Rattus norvegicus: one gene and its partners. The protein of the gene in region 2 purifies or fractionates together with the protein of the main gene of each other region. This does not show direct contact. Links are inferred from orthologs where the notes say so. Each region holds a gene or a part of one and is shown on either strand. Other genes may lie near its edges.

Region 1 (3,514 bases), on a different chromosome or scaffold from region 2:
GGGAATACTCTCTTTCTCTCCTATTCTTTAGCATTCCATAGTGTAAAAATTCAAGAACAAACCTTACCAAATGCTGTGACTTTGACTTGGGTTTCTCCATCTCTACATCTATGAGAAGTTTCTTCTTCAAAAGATTACTTTATTTTAAATTATGCATGTGAGTATGTGCACATATGTGTGGATAACTGCAGAGACCAGAGGTGAGAGATTTCCCTGGAGCTGGACTTACAGGCCATTGTGAGCCACCCAGTGTGGGTGCTGGGAACCAAACTTGGGTCCTTGGAGAAGTGCTCTTAACTACTACTGAGCTGTCTCTCTAGCCTGAATTTTCTGGTCTTGATAAATAACCTAGTGTGGTAATTTGAATATGCTTGGCCCATAGGAAGTGGCATTGTTAGGAGATGTGCCTTGGAGGAGGTGTGGCCTTGTTGGAGGAGGTGTGGCCTTGTTGGAGGAGGTGTGGCCTTGTTGGAGGAGGTGTGGCCTTGTTGGAGGAGGTGTGGCCTTGTTGGAGGAGGTGTGGCTTTGTTGGAGGAAGTGTGTCACTGTGGGGCTGGGCTTAAGAGGCCTCCTCCTATGCTCAGGCTCCACCCACTGCAGAAAAGAGCTTCCTCCTAGCTGTCTAAGGACACCCATCTTTCCTGGTTACCTTCAGATCAAGATGCAGAACTCCCAGCTCCTTTCTCATTAACTCTAACACCCCCCCCCCCCATTATTGAAGAAGAGCCTTCTAAACTGTGACAGTTTGGAACTGTAGCGTGCATTAATTAGCTACTGATGAGAAGCTCCAGAGGCAGGACTTACGTGAACTCCAGCTGGATGGCATACTCTTTGGAGATGAAGGGAATCTGGTCTGGGGCCAGGCGCTTCGCCAGCTGCAGAGCACTGTCCCAGTGCTGCAGGTCCCGCCTCATCTGTTGGAAAACAAAGCCCTAAGGTCCAGAAGGCAACATGCTTTTTAAAGTCACCGCAGAGAGCCAGGCTTAGTAAAAGGAATTACATTTTTTTCCTTAAATAATAAAACTTTCTATTTACAAAGACACTGCTATAAGATATAGTCCGAAAGGCAGTACAAGAGTCTTCTAGACTGGACAAAAATCTTAGCTAGTATGGTAGCTTGTGCTCCTCTCAAAACAAAATCTAATAAAAAATTTATTTTTTAGTATTTTTTTCCAATAGTGAGAAATTAAAGCTAATATAATCAATTAACTGAAAATTTCACCATAGAAGGACACGAATAAAAAACCTAGGAAACACTTTAGAAATTGATTTCCTTCCTTCTGTTATTGCTGAGGCAGGATTTTGCTATGCGTTCCTGACTGGCCTGGAATAAGACTACATAGTCCAGGCTGGCTTTGAACTTAAAGCAACCTTCCTAAGTCTGTTTCTTGCTGGGATTGCAGACATGAGCTACTAACTTGGCTGGAACTGATGCACCTTTTCTTTTTTTTTTCTTTCTCTTTCTTTTCTTTCTTTCTTTTTTTTATTAAAGTTACATTTATTTATGTCTGTGTGCATAAGCACATGTGTGTTACTGTGTGTACGGAGGTCAGAGGACAACTCACAGGAGTCAGTTTTCTCCTTGTATCACGTGGGTTCTGGGGATCAAAGACAAGTCACCAGGCATGGTGGCCAGCGCCTTACCAGGTGAGTCATCTCTCTGGCCCCTGATATGGCTTCTTAGGTGATTTGAAGCTATGTTGCAACATGAATAACAGAAACCACAACATATAAAGCATCTTCCTTTCTGGATCCTGTGGTGTCTTACAAGTATTTGGCAAACAATATACCAGGTCACTACTGAAGAATGTGTCCAATTCATTCCTCACTGATTTAAACTGTAAAGAATTCGTAAGTAATCTTTCCAAGTGCTATTTTCTTACCTGGTCCTGGTCTAGAACATGAACTTATTTCATTTTTCACAACTATCTTTTGCAATATTCTTGTGTCCATTTCATAGATCCAGAAATGGAAGCAAAGTCAGGCCAGGTCTTACACAAGGCTGCATGGCCAGCAAGGGAGAGCAGGTGGGAGGCAGGGCTTTCTTCCTAAGTAACTTGTCTCGCTAAGGGAGGCTGAAGGAACTGTAGGGTGCCATTAGCCCTTGGTTCTGAACTGTCACCTCAGGGCCTTTATGAAGCTAATATCATGTTTTATTATATATTAGAATATAAATATATTGTAACAGATAGATGCAATCTATTTTCTTTGAGAAAAGATGACCAGAAGTTCGAGGTTTGTTTGCTTATTTCTGGCTACTGCTTGTTATATAAATTACTTCTAATTTATTGTACTCTAAACTCATTTTCTTGCCCTACCACCCTGAGGGTTAGGCATCATTATCCACACTTTAAAGAAGAAGGACCTAAGCTGAGAGAGGTCAAAGGACATGCCCAAGGTCACAAACAGGTGGGATCTGAATCCAGATGTGCCTCAACCCCTCCCCCCCCAGTCTTGCTATGTAGCCCTGGCTAACCTAGAACTTGTTATTTGGGCCAGGCTGACCTTGAACTCCAGCACTCCTCCTGTCTGCCTCTTGAGAGCCGGCTAGTCTATGCCCTTCAACTGCTAGTCTGTGTCTGCAGGCTCCCTTCCCCTCTGACTCTGAACTTAGCCCCACATTCTGTTCTGTTCCCCATCTGCAGTCGTCAGCTCCTCACAGAGAGGAGAGGTCCATGCAGGAACTAGAAGATCAATGTGCTTCAAGGTCCTCATGTGGGAAATAGAGAAAATAACGGTACTAGTCTATAAGATAGATTGTTGAGAGGGTTAAATGAGGTAATACAGGTCAGGAGCTTGGGACAGCACCTGGGCAACATGAACAAGCAACAAACGACATCTACTTTCCTTTTTACAGTTTGTAAGTTATACACAGCCTTTTCTCTTTGGACACATTTAGACTTTGAATTATTTAGCAGTGCTACAACACCATGCCTTTTTTATACCTCCACTGAATGCAGGATGAAAGTGGTTTTGAAGTTAATGAGTACTCAGGGGCTCTGAAAGCTGAATGTCTACACGTCAGGAGAGGAAGCCACGTGGTGCCTGGCGCTGCCAAGTCTGACTGTAGAGAAGGGTGACTGCCTGTTCTCTTTGCTGTCATACCTCCAGGGCTGCCACCGGGCAGTTGGATGCCAGGTACAGGTCCTGAGCCAGGTTGAAGTCATTAGTAAACATGGCGAGATGTCCTGCCAAAAGATTGTAGTCCTCAATTCCCTACAAGGAAAAGCAGTGTCGTGAGAAGAAATATAAGGCTTTCACTTTCAAAGGCTTTGCTCAGGAGGAAGAGCTATCAGACCACCTATTCAGTTGTTTGAATTGAGACGAAAACGTAAAAAGCTGAGTAAGCCACATCTATGCTGTGATCTAGTGACTCATGAACTACTGCATACCTTTATTTGTTCCAAGGACATCACGGTGCCAACGTCCCCCATCGTCCGGGAAACGCGAATGGCAAACTCCACCTCCATGTGATGCAGACAGGCTCTGGCCAGCTCACTCCACGAAGTGCGGT
Region 2 (4,112 bases):
ATCTCTTTCAACCCTACTCATTAGCATCTAGGCCCTTCTAGGCCAAGCAGAGCTTATGCTGTGCCTTACATGAGTGAAGATTTGTAGCACAAAAAAGGAAGAGGAGGAGGAGGAGGAGGAGGAGGAGGAGGAGGAGGAGGAGGAGGAGGAGGAGGGGTTGGGGATTTAGCTCAGTGGTAGAGTGCTTGCCTAGGAAGAGCAAGGCCCTGGGTTCGGTCCCCAGCGGTCCCCAGCTCCGAAAAAAAGAACGAAAAAAAAAAAAAAAAAAAAAAAAGCAGCAGCAACAGCCACCCAGGGTCACATAGGGAGGGGGGCCAAGTTCAGTGTTCTGCTCTCCTAGCCTTTGTTTGCAGGTATGCTATTCCCTAGTTTTCAAAAATTAATTTCTGGGACTTGGAGAGGTGGCTCAGCAGTTATGAGCCTTGGATACCCAGAAGGCACAAGTTCTATTCCCAGCACCCACATAGTGACTCACAACCATCTATAACTCCAGTTCCGGGGTATCTGACAGCTTTGGGCACCAGGGATGCATATGATATGCAGACACTCACATAGGTGAAACATACGGCACATGCCTTTAATTCTAGCACTAGGGCGCAGAGGCAGTTGGATCTCAGAGTTCCAGACCAGCCTAGGACTGTGTACTGAGATCCTGTCTCAAAATAAATACATTATTTTTTAAGTGAATTTTTGGATTCAACATCAGTGTGCTTTTGGCCTTACTCATTAAGTCTATCTGTTGTAGTTCTGGTCATAAAGTCCTAGAGGGACCAGAGCCACAAAGGCACTGATGCCTGGAGGCATGATTCAATGCAGAGAGGACAGCTTAGTAGCTACCCTCACGAATAAGGACACTTGAAGAGGGTCCCCAGGTAGGGATCCCGCAGTCGGCCTGTGGGCAAGGGCTAACGGTTTGGAAGGCTGAATGAAGGCCTCAGGTATCCTGGAGCAGGTCAGACTGCGAAGCTTCGGGCGACAGAGGTTCGAAAACCCGGGACTACACCCTGGCGCACCACAGTGGAGTGCAGGGAATCACCCTGTCGTGGTCGGCCCTGGAGTGGAGCAGATGAAGACTACTCCGAGAACCAGCTCGGACCCAGCCCCGGGGCTGTTCCCCTCTCTAGCGCACGCGCCATTGCCTCCCGGTGCCTCCCGCCCCCTGGAAACCCTCCAGCATCGCGGCTAGCGTCATTTGCCAGTGAGACGGGAGCGGAGGGTACTGGACCAATGGGCGTCGGCGACAGTGCGGGGTGTGGTTGCCAGGGGCGGGGCCCGACCTCCTCCATCCTCTCCAGCCGGGCGGCGGCGTCTTGGGGTCTGGACGCTGATGCCACCGGTCGGGCGGGTATGGAGGCGGCGCGCTGCGCACCGGGATCCCGCGGGGACAGGTCAGGCGGCGGAGAGACGGGCAGGGGTCTCCAGGGGGGGCGGGCAAGAGCGGAGGCCAGGCTCTTGTACCCAGGCTGGGCAGGGGCTATGCACACCCTGTGTCTCCAGAGCTCTCTTGTCGCTCTCCTGGAGTTTACCCCGAACCAGCTCGCCCTTCACCCCTAGGGCCTCGGAATCTCTGACTTGCAGTGCGCTGTGCTTCCTGCGCCGCAAGCTCTCTCGAGCCGCTCCCCTGGAGTTTACCCCGGACGAGCTCTCCATGCTCCCCTAGGGTCTCGATTCCCTCACTTGCAATGCGTTCTCCCGTCTCTGTCTCTCTCGACTTGGATCAGAACTGAGCTGGAAGGAGGGCACTCCTGGGAGTCGAAGCGGAAGGTCGAGGGTGATGGTTAATTGGTTCCAAGGCCGTTGCTTTTGGCAGTCATTGCGGAATTCTGGAACGAGTCCGAGGACTGAAAATGCAAAACTGTTCTTTTCTTCTTTCTTTCTTCCCCTGAGTTCCAGGAGTTCTTTCAGTGAGGCCTGTCTTAGTTTAGACTGTTCCATACTCTCGTTAGTGCCCCCGATTTCTCTACCAAGACCCCTCTTTTTTCCTGGTTCACAGAGTGAGCTTGGGAAAGCAAACGGGCTGCAATCCCAGCCTCCTCATTTCTCGTCAGCTAGGCTAACGAAAAGTTAATGGGGGGCCCTGTGAAATCACTGTCTCAAAACTTCAGCATTGTGTGAGGATTGAAACCAAACACGCCAACTGCATTCTTCCTTTACCCTTCCGTTACCACAGCAGATAAAGACTTGGCGTAAGGATTTAGTCTGACGTTTAAACGAGTTTTTAACTGGCCCGAAACCATCTTTTAAGAAGTTACAATAGAGACCCGTGCTCTCCATCGGTGTCATACAAGACTAAGCTTCCCTCAAACTTGACAATAAGGCTGACTTTGAACATTTGTTTCCTACCTCTGCTTCCCAAGGCTGACCTATTTTCATCTTTCATCAAGTAAATTCTATAAACTTGATAGCTGCTCGCCGAAATTTGTTTTCAACTCCCCCTCCATTTTGGGAACAGAAAATACATTTGCAAGTATTAGGCCGGGTTAGCAAAGTTAGTATTCAGCATGTCCGGGTGAAATCAGATGATATCTCGTTCAGCTGAGGGATTTCATTTTTAACTAAACGATTTTAGAGAAGTCAATTCCATAGGAATGTAATTTTTATTTTGAGGTAGGTCTTATGTAGCAGGACTGAAACTCGATATTTAAACCAGGCCAGCTTCGAACTCACACAGATCCATCTGTCTCTGCCTTCCATGACTCACGATTTTAGGGAACAGGAACTTGACTTTGAGATTGGGACCAGCTGGCAGGTTTTGTTTTGTTTTGTTTTTTTTTATTTTATTTTATTTTTCATCTCCTGAACTTGAAGCTTAAAGGAATAATTTTAAGCACCTCCCCCATTCTTCCAAAGAAAAGAAACCGACTCTAATTTCTAGTTGATTGACACGTTAGGAGCCAGTGCGAGGCCCTAGTTTCTCCTGCCCTAGGTAGAGCATGAAGCTCTGTCACTGTTTAACTCGTTTGTTGCTAAAAGCCAGTGAATGTCTCCCTTTTTAGGCTGTCCTTAATAGTTTTTTGAGAGAGACTGAGACTGACTTGGTTGAATGTCAGTATAATCCGGTAATCCAGGCTAGCCTCAAACTCAAAATCCCCCCTGCCTGAGCCTCCCAAGTGTCTTATATAGGCATGCATCACCAAGCCTGGACGTACTTGTGTACTAGGTTCTCTCTCTCTCTCTCTCTCCCCCTCTGTCCCTCTCTCCCTCACTCCCTTCCCACCCCTCTCAGGTTTGAAATTTTCTTTACATCCTTACCAAAATTTCCCCTTCCCCCTCTCCTCCCAGTATCCTCCTCCCTTCCCACCCCCCCACCCCCCATCTACTCCTCTTCTCTTTCTCTTCAAGAAAGGGCAAGCCTACCCATAGATATCAGCCAGTCATGGCATATCAGGTTGCATTAAGACTAGGCACCTCCTCTTCTATTAAGGCTGGAGGAGGCCATCCAATAGGAGGAAAGAATCCCCAAATGAGGTAACAGAGTTAGAACCAGCCCCTGCTCCCACTTTAGGAGTCTTATAAGAAGACTATGCTACACAATTGTAACATATGTGCAGAGAGCCTAGGTCAGTCCCATGCATGCTCCCTGGTTGGCGGTTCAGTCTCTGTGAGCGCCTGTGAACCTCAGTTAGTTGATTCTGTAGGTTTTCTTGTGGTGTCTTTGACCCCTCTGGCTTCTTCAATCCTCCTTCTCTTCCACAGGATTCCCTAAGCTCCACCTAATGTTTAGCTGTGGGTCTCTGTATCTGTTTTCATCAGTTGCTAGGTGAAGCCTCTCTGATGATGGCTACATTAGGCTCCTGTCTGCAAGCATAGCAAACAGGATATCATTAACAGTGTCAGGGGTGATCTCTCTCTTACGGCATGGGTCTCAAGCTGGACCAGTCACCGCTTGCCCATTTCCTCTTCCTCTGCTCTGTCTTTACCCCTGTACATCCTACAGGCAGGACAGATTGTATGTAGGTTGAAGGGTTTGTGGCTGGGTTGCTGTCTCCATCCCTCCACTGGAAATCTTGTCTCGGTTTGGGCTCCACATCCCCATTGTTAGGAGTTTTAGCTAGGGTCACCCTCACAGATTCCTGGGAGTTTCCATTGCATGAGATTTCTAGCTCACCCCA
Region 3 (4,083 bases), on a different chromosome or scaffold from region 2:
TTCGAATCTATTCACTTCTAACCCCCTCACCAAGGTTCCCAAAACCCTGTCATTGTGCTAGGGAGCGGAAACCCATTCCCAGAACCAGCACTGCCAGCGCCACCAAACAAAATACATCAGTCCAACAGGACCCACTCGCCGGCGCGCCAGGCCGTGTCCCCAGGCGCATTCCGGTCGTTCCCCAGCGGCGGTGGACTCCTATGGAGTCCGTCACCGAAACCCGTCACTTCCTGACCGTGGGAGGCGCGGGCACTGCGGGCCTCGTCCCGGCTCCACACCCTTTGTCCCATTTCGGGTGGGAGAAGCTCGCACCTTCCTAAAGAGCTGACCGCTGGCTGCACACGGCACAGCCCGCGAATACCGCGGCCCCTCCGCGGATCCCGTAGGCTCCCGAGTGCAGCCTGCGGTCACCTTTTTCATCCACGCTTCCCGGCAGACTGGCTCCCGGATCCCGGGCCTCCGCAGAACCGACGGGGCCGGGCAGCTCCGGCTGCGGCGAGGCCGCGATGCCGGGCTGGTAGTCGTGTGTCAGACGCGGTCACCGAGCACTGTTCCCTTCGCAACTCCTCTCTGTGGACCGGCGCGCGGCTAACAGGGCTGACGGCGCCGGTGCTGCCGCCACTCGCCCTCCCACACCCGGGACGCCGCGCTCTCTAAACAGTTCCGGCTACGGCGGCCGCCCGGGACCTGAAGTCGGCGCCGGAGCGGGGCGGGGCGAACGTCCCGCAAAAAAAGGCGAGCACGTCCAGCTTTTCTGCGGGCGCGCCCAACCAGCTAGGCTGCCATTGGTCAGTAGGCGTTACGTGCGCGCGCCCGCACGGTGTACAGGGGCGGGCCCGCAACGTGGGGCGTGTTGTGACGGCAACCTCGCGCCCTTGCGGGTCGTGCGTCTCTTCCGATTGGCGAACCGACAGCCAATAGGGTCAGCGTTCTGGTTGTGATTGGCTGAGACTGTGTTGACGGATGCGTGAGAAGAAATCACCGCCTCAGCGGGGCGTCTTGAAGCGCGCGCGAACTCGGGTGGGGACTATGCACTCTGAAATCAGGTTTAGGACCATAAATATATCGTAGCACAGCCCACTAACAGTTTTCCTGCTCGAAACGATAAGGAAATGTTTTTTAAAACTCTAATCCTTATGCATGTGGCGTTTGAGACGGAGTATTCCAGTTCGCAGAAGGTCTCCGTCTCTGGTTATCCCCTTGGCTCGTTGGCGTGGACCGTGCTACTGCGCCTGCTCTCCAGCGACACCCGCCGTTGGCTAACGCTGGCTAAAGTACGCACGGTCGCCCAGGGAACCCTAGCTGCTGCAAGGTTCTGCTGAGTGCCGCTTGCAGCGGTCTCCCGAGGCGTCAACGCGCCACACTCCCGGGCGGCGTCCGGTACTCAGAACTTCCCGGAGAAGCTCTCGAGCCGCGCCCTCCCATCCGAGTCGATGCAACTAAGCTCCCCGAGGTGTCGACTGATGGCCTGCGTGGTGGGGTGGGCAGGATGAACTCGAGGATAAAAGTATCAGGAGGCTTGACGCAGCTTGCCCTGAGTAGCAAATAGTTCTGGCCCACCCATTAGCAAGAAGGCCAAACTGTGGTCCTGAGACGGGCCTGAGACTCAGAGCTGCGCCGGGAAGGACCGACTGTCTTTGGCTCTTTGCGCCTCTAGTCGCCAGTCGTCTTTTTGGGAGCCATCGGAGGCGCGGCCGTCCCTGAACTTGCTTCCACTTTCTGTAGCGGCGTTGTCCGGGCGACACGGAGGCACAGGGAATCTGCGGAAGTTAGACTCCTATACCTGAGGTGCAAAGGCGTCTGGGGCTGGAGTGGGGAGTGGCTGGGGGTGGGATAGGGTCCTTCAGGATCGGCCTGGGGCCTAGAGATGACCTGCCAGGACCCTTTCGATTCCTCTCTGTGCTGGCTTCACAAGAATTCTCTCTGCCCAGTCCTAGAGCCCCCTGCTGGACTTTTGAGTTGCCGCGTGGTTACCTCTGCATGCATTTAGTTTGAAGTTGGGGGAAGCCAAAATCCGTGACTTGGTTAATTTTCGGGTGGCTTATGAAAATAGCATGATCTGACTGGACCACCTTGAACTACACAGTCCTTCAATAATGTTTACATGATGCAGCTAGTGACCTTATTCTGGCCCAGAGAGCTAGACTTTAGATCATTGGTCACTACCCTGAAAGGCTACTCTAGAACTCATCCTCTTGTTCCTGAGAGTCTCTGACAGTTGTAACTTGTCTTTAATTGTTAGTATGATTCCTTGGCATAATGAGTTTAACTAGCTTTCCTAAGAGTTGGCTTGATGGAGCTACTTACCTCTGAAAATGATTGACAACTATAAAAATGAGGATCAATTGACTGGAAAAAGTGAAATTGCCTTTTTCTTGCTTTAGGGCCTCCATACTTGAAACTTGTTCCTGAACTAAGGCCATTAACAGATTTTCAAATAACTATTTTATTGTGAACATCTGCCTTTTAAAATTTATTTAATAACTTTTTAATTATTTGGCTAATTCTCATTTTAAAACTTAAGAGTTCTGGTCAGTAGTGCTTCACACGTTTAATCCCAGGACTTGGGAGGCAGAGGCAGGCAGATCTTTGTGAATTTGAGGCCAGCCTGGGCTACAGAGCAAGTTCTAGGACAGTCAGGGCTAAACAGAAATCTTGCCTTGAAAGACAAAACAAAACAAAACAAATGAACAATAAAAAACCTTAAGCGCGGGGTTGGGGATTTAGCTTAGTGGTAGAGCGCTTGCCTAGCAAGCGCAAGGCCCTGGGTTCGGTCCCCAGCTCCTAAAAAAAGAAAAGAAAAGAAAAGAAAAACCTTAAGCACAAGTGAGGAGAGAACAGACAATTAGAACATTGTATAAAAATGGAAATACTAAAGTGTCAGGTAGCACTTTTTTTTAAAAAATAAGTTTTTTGTTTTTTTTTTTTTTGAGACAAGGTCTCACTGTGTATCCTTGGCTGCCTGGAACTCACTGTAGTAGACCATATTTCCTCAAGCACATAGGGATCTCGGCTTCTTATGTGCTGGGATTGAAAGCTTGTGCCACCATATTTGGCTTATTTCTAATGTCTGTGTGCAGTCTGCAGAGGCCAGCGTGGCATCAGATCCCAGAGGAACTGCAGTTCTAGCCAGCTGTGAGCTGCCTGATGCGAGTGCTGGGGACTGAACTCACGTCACCTGGAAGATCTCTTAACCACAGAATCATCTTTCAAACCCATGTATCAAATCAAATGCAGCATCTCCCCAGTCACTGTGGCTTTGTGATCCTGACTGTCCTCTGCCACCTATAAGTCATAGCTAGCAGACATTCTTTTGAGTTTTGGTTTCTATGAAGTTGAATGCTGTTTTTTCTCTGTACAGATATTTTATGGGCAGTTTGCTTTTCTCTAGTTTCAGCTTTGTCTTTGAGGGTGTCCGTAGAAATCGAACCCATGCTTATCTTGTCTGGAATGAGAGTGATCAAGAATTATTTGAAACCCCCGTTTAGTACTTGCTCATTCTATTCCATTTAGTTCTCTCTTAGCAAAGAATTTGACTTCTTTTCCAGCACACGTTGGGTCATTCCAAGTTCAAGCCTTTGCTTTTTATATTTCTCCTTAATAGAGATCTCTAACAAATAAGTTCACTTAAGAAACACGTCAAGCTGCTTTGTGTCTTTGTAAGTGTGCTTCCCTTTTGCAATTCTATACGCTGTCATTCTTAGTTGGTTTCCCCCGCTCTGCAGGTCTCATCCTTGACTAAGTCTGTGCATCACCATGGCACTGTATTTTGACCACCGAATCAAAGCTCCAGATGCATCCAGCTCTCCCTCTCACATCACCTGGCACCCCACCCACCCATTCCTGGCAGTGGCATCTGTAAGCCCATCTTCTGGAGGCAACGTAGACATCTACCTTGAACAAGTGAGTCCTTGGAGTGACATTGACTTCAGCAGCTCCTGACCCTTGTGCTCTTTTCTCCTCCCGAGTCATAGAGGCCAGGAGGCAGCATAGCTCAGCTCTAGAGACCTCTAAATCAGTTTGTCCAAGGGCCAGTTGTTCCTAAGCACCAAAGCCCTGGTGTCTGGCAGTTCTTTCATCCCC
Region 4 (3,514 bases), on a different chromosome or scaffold from region 2:
ATGAAAAAAGAAATAAAAGAGTCTGGTATACAATCAGAGTATCCACCTTTCAGATTCCAAAGGCACACTTAGTCATGTACTAGCTGGGCAGTTTATGTCATTCCTAAGAAAGGCAATTATTTTTGTTAATCAAATGTATATTTAAAAACCCAGTAATATTCTAAAATGATACAAATGCTAGGGTCAGTGTCAGGACTAGATCTCAGTCTACCCAATTCTACAATCCAATTCTGAAGCACGGATGTGTGGGTCACTCACTATAACTCTTTTGTATCCTGGAAATGTATTTAGCACAGTCCTAACAGAAGGTACATAACTGGTTACTTGTCAAACAGTGTTTTTTTATTTTTATTTTTATCTGTGTATGTGTGCTTGGCATGAAAGAGGCATGTGATAATTTTTTAAAGATAAAAGTGTTTCCAATATTTAAAAGCTCATTCTATGACATGCAGCTTATTTAATTATTTAAAATACTTACAGTGCTATTAATTGTTACTGGACATACACGTATAGTTTTAAGTTACTTATAGCTTGGATTCTCTTCTCTTCTCAGTCATACCTTATATTACTTGCTAACACAATGCAACTCAACTTTAAAGACCATTCCTTCCACAATATATCCACATGTCCCAACTACTACCTAAGTAACATTCCATCCCCATGATAGCCATGAATCCCAACTACTATAAAGAACAGAGTTCCTTCCATAATATAGTCTTACATCTCAAATACTACCAAGAATAATGTTCTCTCCATAATAAAGCCATACGTCCCAACTACTCTACAATGAAAATCATGTTACTTCCATAATATAGCCACATGTCTCAAGTACGACACAATGAAAATTTACTGAACATTTTTCAGGAGCTATGAACAATGGGAACTATCAAAGTCCTCATGAAGCTTACTACGTTGTCTAAGGAGAGAAACTGCACATTGCTACACATTTGCACAGTCTGTGTGTGTCACTCTTCTTTGGTTGTCCTTTCATTGCTTTGTGAAACAGTTGCTAACATTTACACAGTCAACTCTGTTAACTCAGACCATTGCTATGCACCATTGAAATAACTGTCATAGGATGCATAAAAGCAGCATGAAACGGATGAATTTATACTCTGGCCAGGAAGATAAAACATTACATATATAGCACCATGGATAGAAAACTAAAAATCATTAAGTCGCAGTAAGCAGAACATGGAATCTATCTCAATGCTACACTTAAATGCTGTACCTGGATTGGGGCTCATTTTATGGACATACATCAGCGCCATCAGGGAACACAGTGACACGTCTTGTTTATTTTTAATGGCCTCAAACTCCCGAAGGGCTTCTTGAGCTTTACCTGGAAATCAAGATTGGGGTTTGAAAAACAATTAGTATACTTAGTTCAAGCTAGGATTCAGAGCATAGGGAAGACATCTGATGATCAGCACGTACCCTCCATTAGTGTGCCGTAGGCATGGTAAAATCGGAAGACTGGGTCACTGCTATACTTCTTCATCCCTTCACTGGCCACAAGGAGCACATGGTGATAGTATCTCTCTTGACAATAGTAATTGATCAGTGTCTACAAGGAAATAATGACTAATGGTTAACAGGCAGGTTAATATTCAGAAGAAGACATCAATCTTGGATAATCCAGAACTTAATATAGTTTCTTCTCTGCTCTTTAAAATGTCTTTAACCCTGGGCACTCAATAGTAAGGATGAGACTGAGTGACCATGGAATTATTCAAAAGTCAGTGTTTCTCTTTTTCGGTGTAATTTTCTTTTGTTCCCTATAATTAGTTCTTTTCAACAATATTGGAGTCAGACTACGTTTACATTTTACCTTCTTTGGCTTTATCTTCTTTGAAGATTTTAGAAAAAAAGAAAAAGAAAACAAACAACAACAACAAAAAACAAACAAACAAACAAACAAAAAAACCAAAACAAAACTGTGGACCAAGAAAATGAAGAGACTAGAGCTGGTTAGTTTGCTACTTTTAAAAATTTGGTTTGGCTCTGTCAACTTGACGAAGACAAGAGTCACCTGGGAAGAAGGAACCTTGATTGATGAAATCCTTAGATTAGCCTAAAGGCAAGCCTCTGAGGCATTTTCTTGACTAATGATTGATGTGGGGGGCTCCAGCCCACTCTGGGCACCACTGAGCAGCAGGTAGTCATGAAAAATATTCACATATATGAATACATACACACATACATACACACATACATACAATCTGAGTTAGCCATGAAAAGCAAATCAGTAAGCAATAAGCAGTATTCCTCCACTGTGGTAGGTTGAATGAGAAAATCCTTAGGCTCGTATATTTGAATGCTTGATCTCTAGTCACTGAAACTGTTTTGGAAGGATTGAAAGGTTTGGTCTTGTTAGAGGAGGTGTGTCTGGAGGCTTTGATGGTTCAAACATCCAAAGTAGGCCTTATCTTTGTCTCTCTGCCAGTCTCTATCTTTCTCTTTCTCACTATCTCTGTCTCTCCGTCCCTCCCTCCTTCCCTACTGCTTGCGGCTTAGGATGTAACCTCTCAGCTACTGTCAGACCCATGGCCATGATGGTCTTGAACTCTAACCCTTGGACACTGTAAGCAAGTCTCCAATAAACACTTCTTTAAGTTGCTTTGGTCATGGTGTCTCTTCCCAGAATACACAAGTAACTAAGACTGCTTCAGTTCCTATTTCCAGAATGAGTCCTTGATGTCTTGCCCTAATAAAACACAATGATCAAAAGCAACTCAGGAAGGATAGGGTTCACTTCATCTTAGTTTGTGGTGCAGAGAAGTCAGAGGGACATAGAGGAGTGTGGTTTACTGGCTTGCTCAGACTGTTTTCTTATATCACAGAGAACCACCATCACCTACAATGAGAAGGGCCCTCCAGCATCAACCAGGAAAGTTCCTTGGATACTTGACTACAGGCAATCTAATGGTGGCATATTTTCAACTGAAGTATCTTATTCTCAAATGACCCTGGGTGTGTCAAGTTGTCATAGCCAGGACACAAGCTGTGACAAATTGGGTCTACTTTTCTTGAAAATGCATCTAAGATTCAGCTGCTGACCTACTCAAAGAGGGAAGCCACACTCTCACCATCACTGTAACTACGGGGCTTCCTTACTTCACAAACAAAGGTGAGGAATCCTGTGACACTGTCCGCCTGCATTAGGACCACATGAGTGAGAGACAGAAAGGACATAGGTGCACACAGACAGCTCTTTTACAGTCTGGATTCTGCAGGGCTACACCTTGCCTTTCCTAGAGCTCAGTCATGCAATATTCTCTAGAACCTCTGCTCTGCTCCCCTCTTGTGGGTTCTGTTTCACACTTGTTCTCCACCTCATTTCTGGAGACAGTGACCCATATTCCAAATGGCAGACAACCGCAACATAGCTCAGCAAAGTGCAGTTTGATTTTTTTTCCCAACTTCCTCATGCTCCAGGATCAAAACGAACTTACTTATTTATCCCACAATGCTATCCTCCTTGACTTCTGTGCTGCATGAAAAATGATTCACA
Region 5 (3,514 bases), on a different chromosome or scaffold from region 2:
GACTTCTTAAGTTCTGAGCCATCGTTCCAGCCCAAAAATGTATCATTTATTTACTTATTTATGGGTTGTTTTTTGTCTTTTGACAGGATCTCACTGTACACACACACACACACCCCTACCCCTGCCTCTGCCTCCCCAAGCATAGGACACCTAGCTTCTCATTATCTGAGATAGGCTGGGTAGCCATTAGGCTTCAAGGATCTGCCTGTCTCTACATCCTAATGCTGAAGTTCGTCAGCACAGTAAGGTCCTGAGAGTCAAATGCTAGGCTGGGATTAAAGGAAATGCATTACCGTATCCAACTAGGAATGTATTTTTAATTATAAATTGTAATGATTAAAACCCAGAACAGTGGCACAAGTCTATAGTCAGAGCTAAGACAGCTGAGGCATGATCACTTAAGTTCAGGTAGCCACCCTAAGTAATGTAAAAAGGGCTAAGGATAAAGTCAGTTGTACAGTGTCTGTGCCTGACACATGGTTAAGTCCTGGGTTCACAACTCCAGCAGCGAAAACAATAAATTACAACAATGAGACAGTGAGATGTCTTGGTAGCTAAAGGCTACCATGCTACCACCTGTTTGATGCCTGGAACCACACGTAAGAATGCTTGCAAGTTGTCCTCTTGACATCCTCATGTGTGTGCGTACATGTGCATACACACATATACACATCACACACATACCAGCAAACAAACTAAAAAAGAAATTGGGGGTTTTTCAAGATAAGGTTTCTCTGTGTGGCCCTGGTTGTCTGGGAACTTGCTCTGTAGACCAGGCTGGACTTCAACTTTCAGATTCACCTGTCTCTGCCTCCTGAGTGCTGGAATTAAAAGCATGTGTTACTACACATGGGTACACAAATCTTAATAAATTTTAATAAACAGGTATGATGACACTGGCCTTTAATCTTTGCATTTGGGAGGCAGAGTAGGACTATATCTCTACAAGTTTGAGGTCAGCCTGGTCTACAAAGGAAGTTCTAGGCTAGCCAGAGCTACATAGTGTGATACTGTCTCTAAATAAATAAAAACTACAAAACTTTTAGATATAATCCTTTTTCTTCAGATAAATCTTAACACTCCCAGTAGGGGAATTGACAAGCTTTATTTCATTCCAGATTTACAGGATTCATTCAACTTGGAGTAAAAGAAAAAAATGTCTCTGGAATACAACTCTAATCCCAATTCTTCAGAAAGAGAAGAAAGTTTGAAATCATCCAAGGCTATAGAGAAAGAAAGAAAAAAAGAAAGAAAGCCAGCCAGCCAGCCAGCCAGCCAGGCATGGTAGTACATACCTGGAATAATCCCATAGCTGGGAGGATCTCTGCCAAGTTCCAGGCCAGACCTGAGTAAGCCCCTGTTTCAAGAATAACACTGGAAGCCTACATACAGAATAGCTCAGCAGTCAGTTAAGGTGCTTCTGACCAAGTCCGAAGTCAAGACTGACAGAGGAAGGAAACAAGCAACTCCCAACTCAGGATGTACGGACTCCCACAGGTGCCACAGCACACAAACTACAACACATACCCAAACATAAAACAAATTTTTCCCTAAAAAAAAAAAAAGCCAACCCTTGTCTCCTTGTCTGAATCACACCTGTAGGCCAAACTAACCCTACTTGGGGCTAAGAAGCTGTGCACACTGACCTGCTTCAGGCACGCCCACCTGCCTCTGCCTCCCACAACTGAGATTCTTTTTTTTTTTGTTCATTTATTATATATGAGTACACTGTTAGCTGTCTTCAGACACACCAGAAGAGGGCATCGGATCTCTTTAGAGATGGTTGTGAGCCACCATGTGGTTGCTGGGAATTGAACTCAGGACCTCTGGAAGAGTAGTCGGGTGCTCTTAACCGCTGAGCCATCTCTCCAGCCCCACAACTGAGATTCTTGATCATCATTTAATACTTTTCACTTTGCTCAAACTGCTCTGGCTGCTAACAATGTCTAACATACTATATAACACAGAATACGACTTGGTTTTAGACCAAGTCAAATGAAAAAGGTCAAGTCTCTACAATCTTACAAAGTTAAAATGAAGAAAAAGGTAAAAATGTTACTTACTCCCTAATATTAAGTTTCTACTTTCTCCATGAAAACTGTCTCCACTAGACTCTTGCTATGACAGACTTCAAAAGGATCTGATTTTTCTAAGTCATCTTGAGGAGCCAGGATTCAGTGTGTAAGAGCTCTAGGGGTTGAAAAGGTGGCTTGATGCTCTTGCAGAGGACTTGGAGGCTCACAAACATCTATCACTACAGTTTCAGGAGATCTGATGCCTTCTGGACTCCTTAAGCACTTCACACAATGGCAGAGAAGCATACATGCAGATAAAACACCCATACACATAAAATTAAAACCAAACAAGTCCAGGAGCTAGAGAGAGAGCCTAGCCATGAAAGAGAACTTGCTGCTCCTTAAAGAGAACTCACGTTTGCCAGCACCCACATGGTGGCCCACATTCCTGGAAACCCAATACTCATTTGTGGCCTCTGTGGGGTACCAGGCATACCATGCACATGTATGCATATAGGCAAAAATCAATCAATCAATTAATCTCTGTGTGTGTGTGTGTTTCTCCTCTTTCTCCTCCTCCTTTCTCCCCCTTCTCTCTCTCACACATGATCTTAAAACAAACAAAAAACCCCGTAATTCCACTTACCAATTGTACTATAAATATACAAAGATTTAAAGTTGTTAAACTTTTCAAAACACTGAACTAGTTTAGCAAATGCTGCTGTCCTCAGTTTTTATGAACAAAGACTACTACATCAAAAGCAAAGCAAACAAAAAAATTAACTGGAAAAGGAATAAAATATATACTAGCTTTTTCTCTTTACTGTTTTCATGTGTCTTACTTACCCCAGCTCCAGTCAGAACTATTATCTTTTTGCACTCTTGTAGTAACTTCACAGCATCTTCAATTGTATTAATATCTTTTCTTTTTTTCCGCTTTGGTGGTTCTGAAAGGATATTAATAACAATCTGCCACAGTGTCATATCATCCAACTCAGGTGGAGGAATTGTTTCTGGTAATAAATCTTTAAGAATTGTTCGAGGATCGGTGCCAATCATGAGGTGTTGCTGAACAAAAGTATATGGACCTATATTAAGGGAAGAAAGAGTCCCGTCATCCCCTTCTAATGGAAGTGCTCTATATTTTCAACCAATGAGGTAGCAATCGATACATTTATATGCAAAGAATATAATTTAAAGATATTTCCTGTCATATCCCTAACTAATCTGACTAATCCAGAGTTTGGGGAGGAAGTGCTTAGGTATAAGGGTTTTTTTGCTTGGTTAGTTGGTTTGGTTTGAGACAGGGTTTCTCTGCATAGCCCTGGCTGTCCTGGAACTTGCTCTGTAGATCGGGCTGGCCTAGAATTCAAGAGATTCTCCTGCCTCTGCTTCCTGAGTGCAGAGATTAAAAAGGTGCATGCCACCACTACCTGGACTGTCTAGGTATTTTGACTAAGCTTAGATGTTTTAAGTATTTTAAAGGTTAGGGGGACTTG

What was found.
Region 1: the proteins of Tulp3 (region 2) and Wdr19 purify together in Homo sapiens (affinity purification with mass spectrometry; 5 studies listed by BioGRID and IntAct, counting the BioPlex papers as one, with this or other methods). This does not show direct contact. The link is inferred for Rattus norvegicus from reciprocal best matches to the Homo sapiens genes TULP3 and WDR19.
Region 3: the proteins of Tulp3 (region 2) and Ift140 purify together in Homo sapiens (affinity purification with mass spectrometry; 5 studies listed by BioGRID and IntAct, counting the BioPlex papers as one, with this or other methods). This does not show direct contact. The link is inferred for Rattus norvegicus from reciprocal best matches to the Homo sapiens genes TULP3 and IFT140.
Region 4: the proteins of Tulp3 (region 2) and Ttc21b purify together in Homo sapiens (affinity purification with mass spectrometry; 5 studies listed by BioGRID and IntAct, counting the BioPlex papers as one, with this or other methods). This does not show direct contact. The link is inferred for Rattus norvegicus from reciprocal best matches to the Homo sapiens genes TULP3 and TTC21B.
Region 5: the proteins of Tulp3 (region 2) and Sirt1 purify together in Homo sapiens (affinity purification with mass spectrometry; 5 studies listed by BioGRID and IntAct, counting the BioPlex papers as one, with this or other methods). This does not show direct contact. The link is inferred for Rattus norvegicus from reciprocal best matches to the Homo sapiens genes TULP3 and SIRT1.

Annotation. Positions count from the first base shown.
Region 1 is NC_086032.1:43,421,932-43,425,445, forward strand, and holds part of Wdr19 (WD repeat-containing protein 19), read right to left. Parts: coding exon 3,393-3,514; intron 3,217-3,392; coding exon 3,106-3,216; intron 915-3,105; coding exon 805-914; intron 1-804. UniProt on the Homo sapiens protein: As component of the IFT complex A (IFT-A), a complex required for retrograde ciliary transport and entry into cilia of G protein-coupled receptors (GPCRs), it is involved in cilia function and/or assembly.
Region 2 is NC_086022.1:163,315,441-163,319,552, reverse strand, and holds the start of Tulp3 (tubby-related protein 3), read left to right. Parts: upstream 1-1,298; 5' UTR 1,299-1,347; coding exon 1,348-1,388; intron 1,389-4,112. UniProt on the Homo sapiens protein: Negative regulator of the Shh signaling transduction pathway: recruited to primary cilia via association with the IFT complex A (IFT-A) and is required for recruitment of G protein-coupled receptor GPR161 to cilia, a promoter of PKA-dependent basal repression machinery in Shh signaling.
Region 3 is NC_086028.1:14,536,186-14,540,268, forward strand, and holds the start of Ift140 (intraflagellar transport 140), read left to right. Parts: upstream 1-1,280; 5' UTR 1,281-1,788; intron 1,789-3,725; 5' UTR 3,726-3,756; coding exon 3,757-3,903; intron 3,904-4,083. UniProt on the Homo sapiens protein: Component of the IFT complex A (IFT-A), a complex required for retrograde ciliary transport and entry into cilia of G protein-coupled receptors (GPCRs).
Region 4 is NC_086021.1:71,337,425-71,340,938, forward strand, and holds part of Ttc21b (tetratricopeptide repeat protein 21B), read right to left. Parts: intron 1,568-3,514; coding exon 1,438-1,567; intron 1,343-1,437; coding exon 1,232-1,342; intron 1-1,231. UniProt on the Homo sapiens protein: Component of the IFT complex A (IFT-A), a complex required for retrograde ciliary transport and entry into cilia of G protein-coupled receptors (GPCRs). Essential for retrograde trafficking of IFT-1, IFT-B and GPCRs.
Region 5 is NC_086038.1:25,308,951-25,312,464, reverse strand, and holds part of Sirt1 (NAD-dependent protein deacetylase sirtuin-1), read right to left. Parts: intron 3,104-3,514; coding exon 2,862-3,103; intron 1-2,861. UniProt on the Homo sapiens protein: NAD-dependent protein deacetylase that links transcriptional regulation directly to intracellular energetics and participates in the coordination of several separated cellular functions such as cell cycle, response to DNA damage, metabolism, apoptosis and autophagy.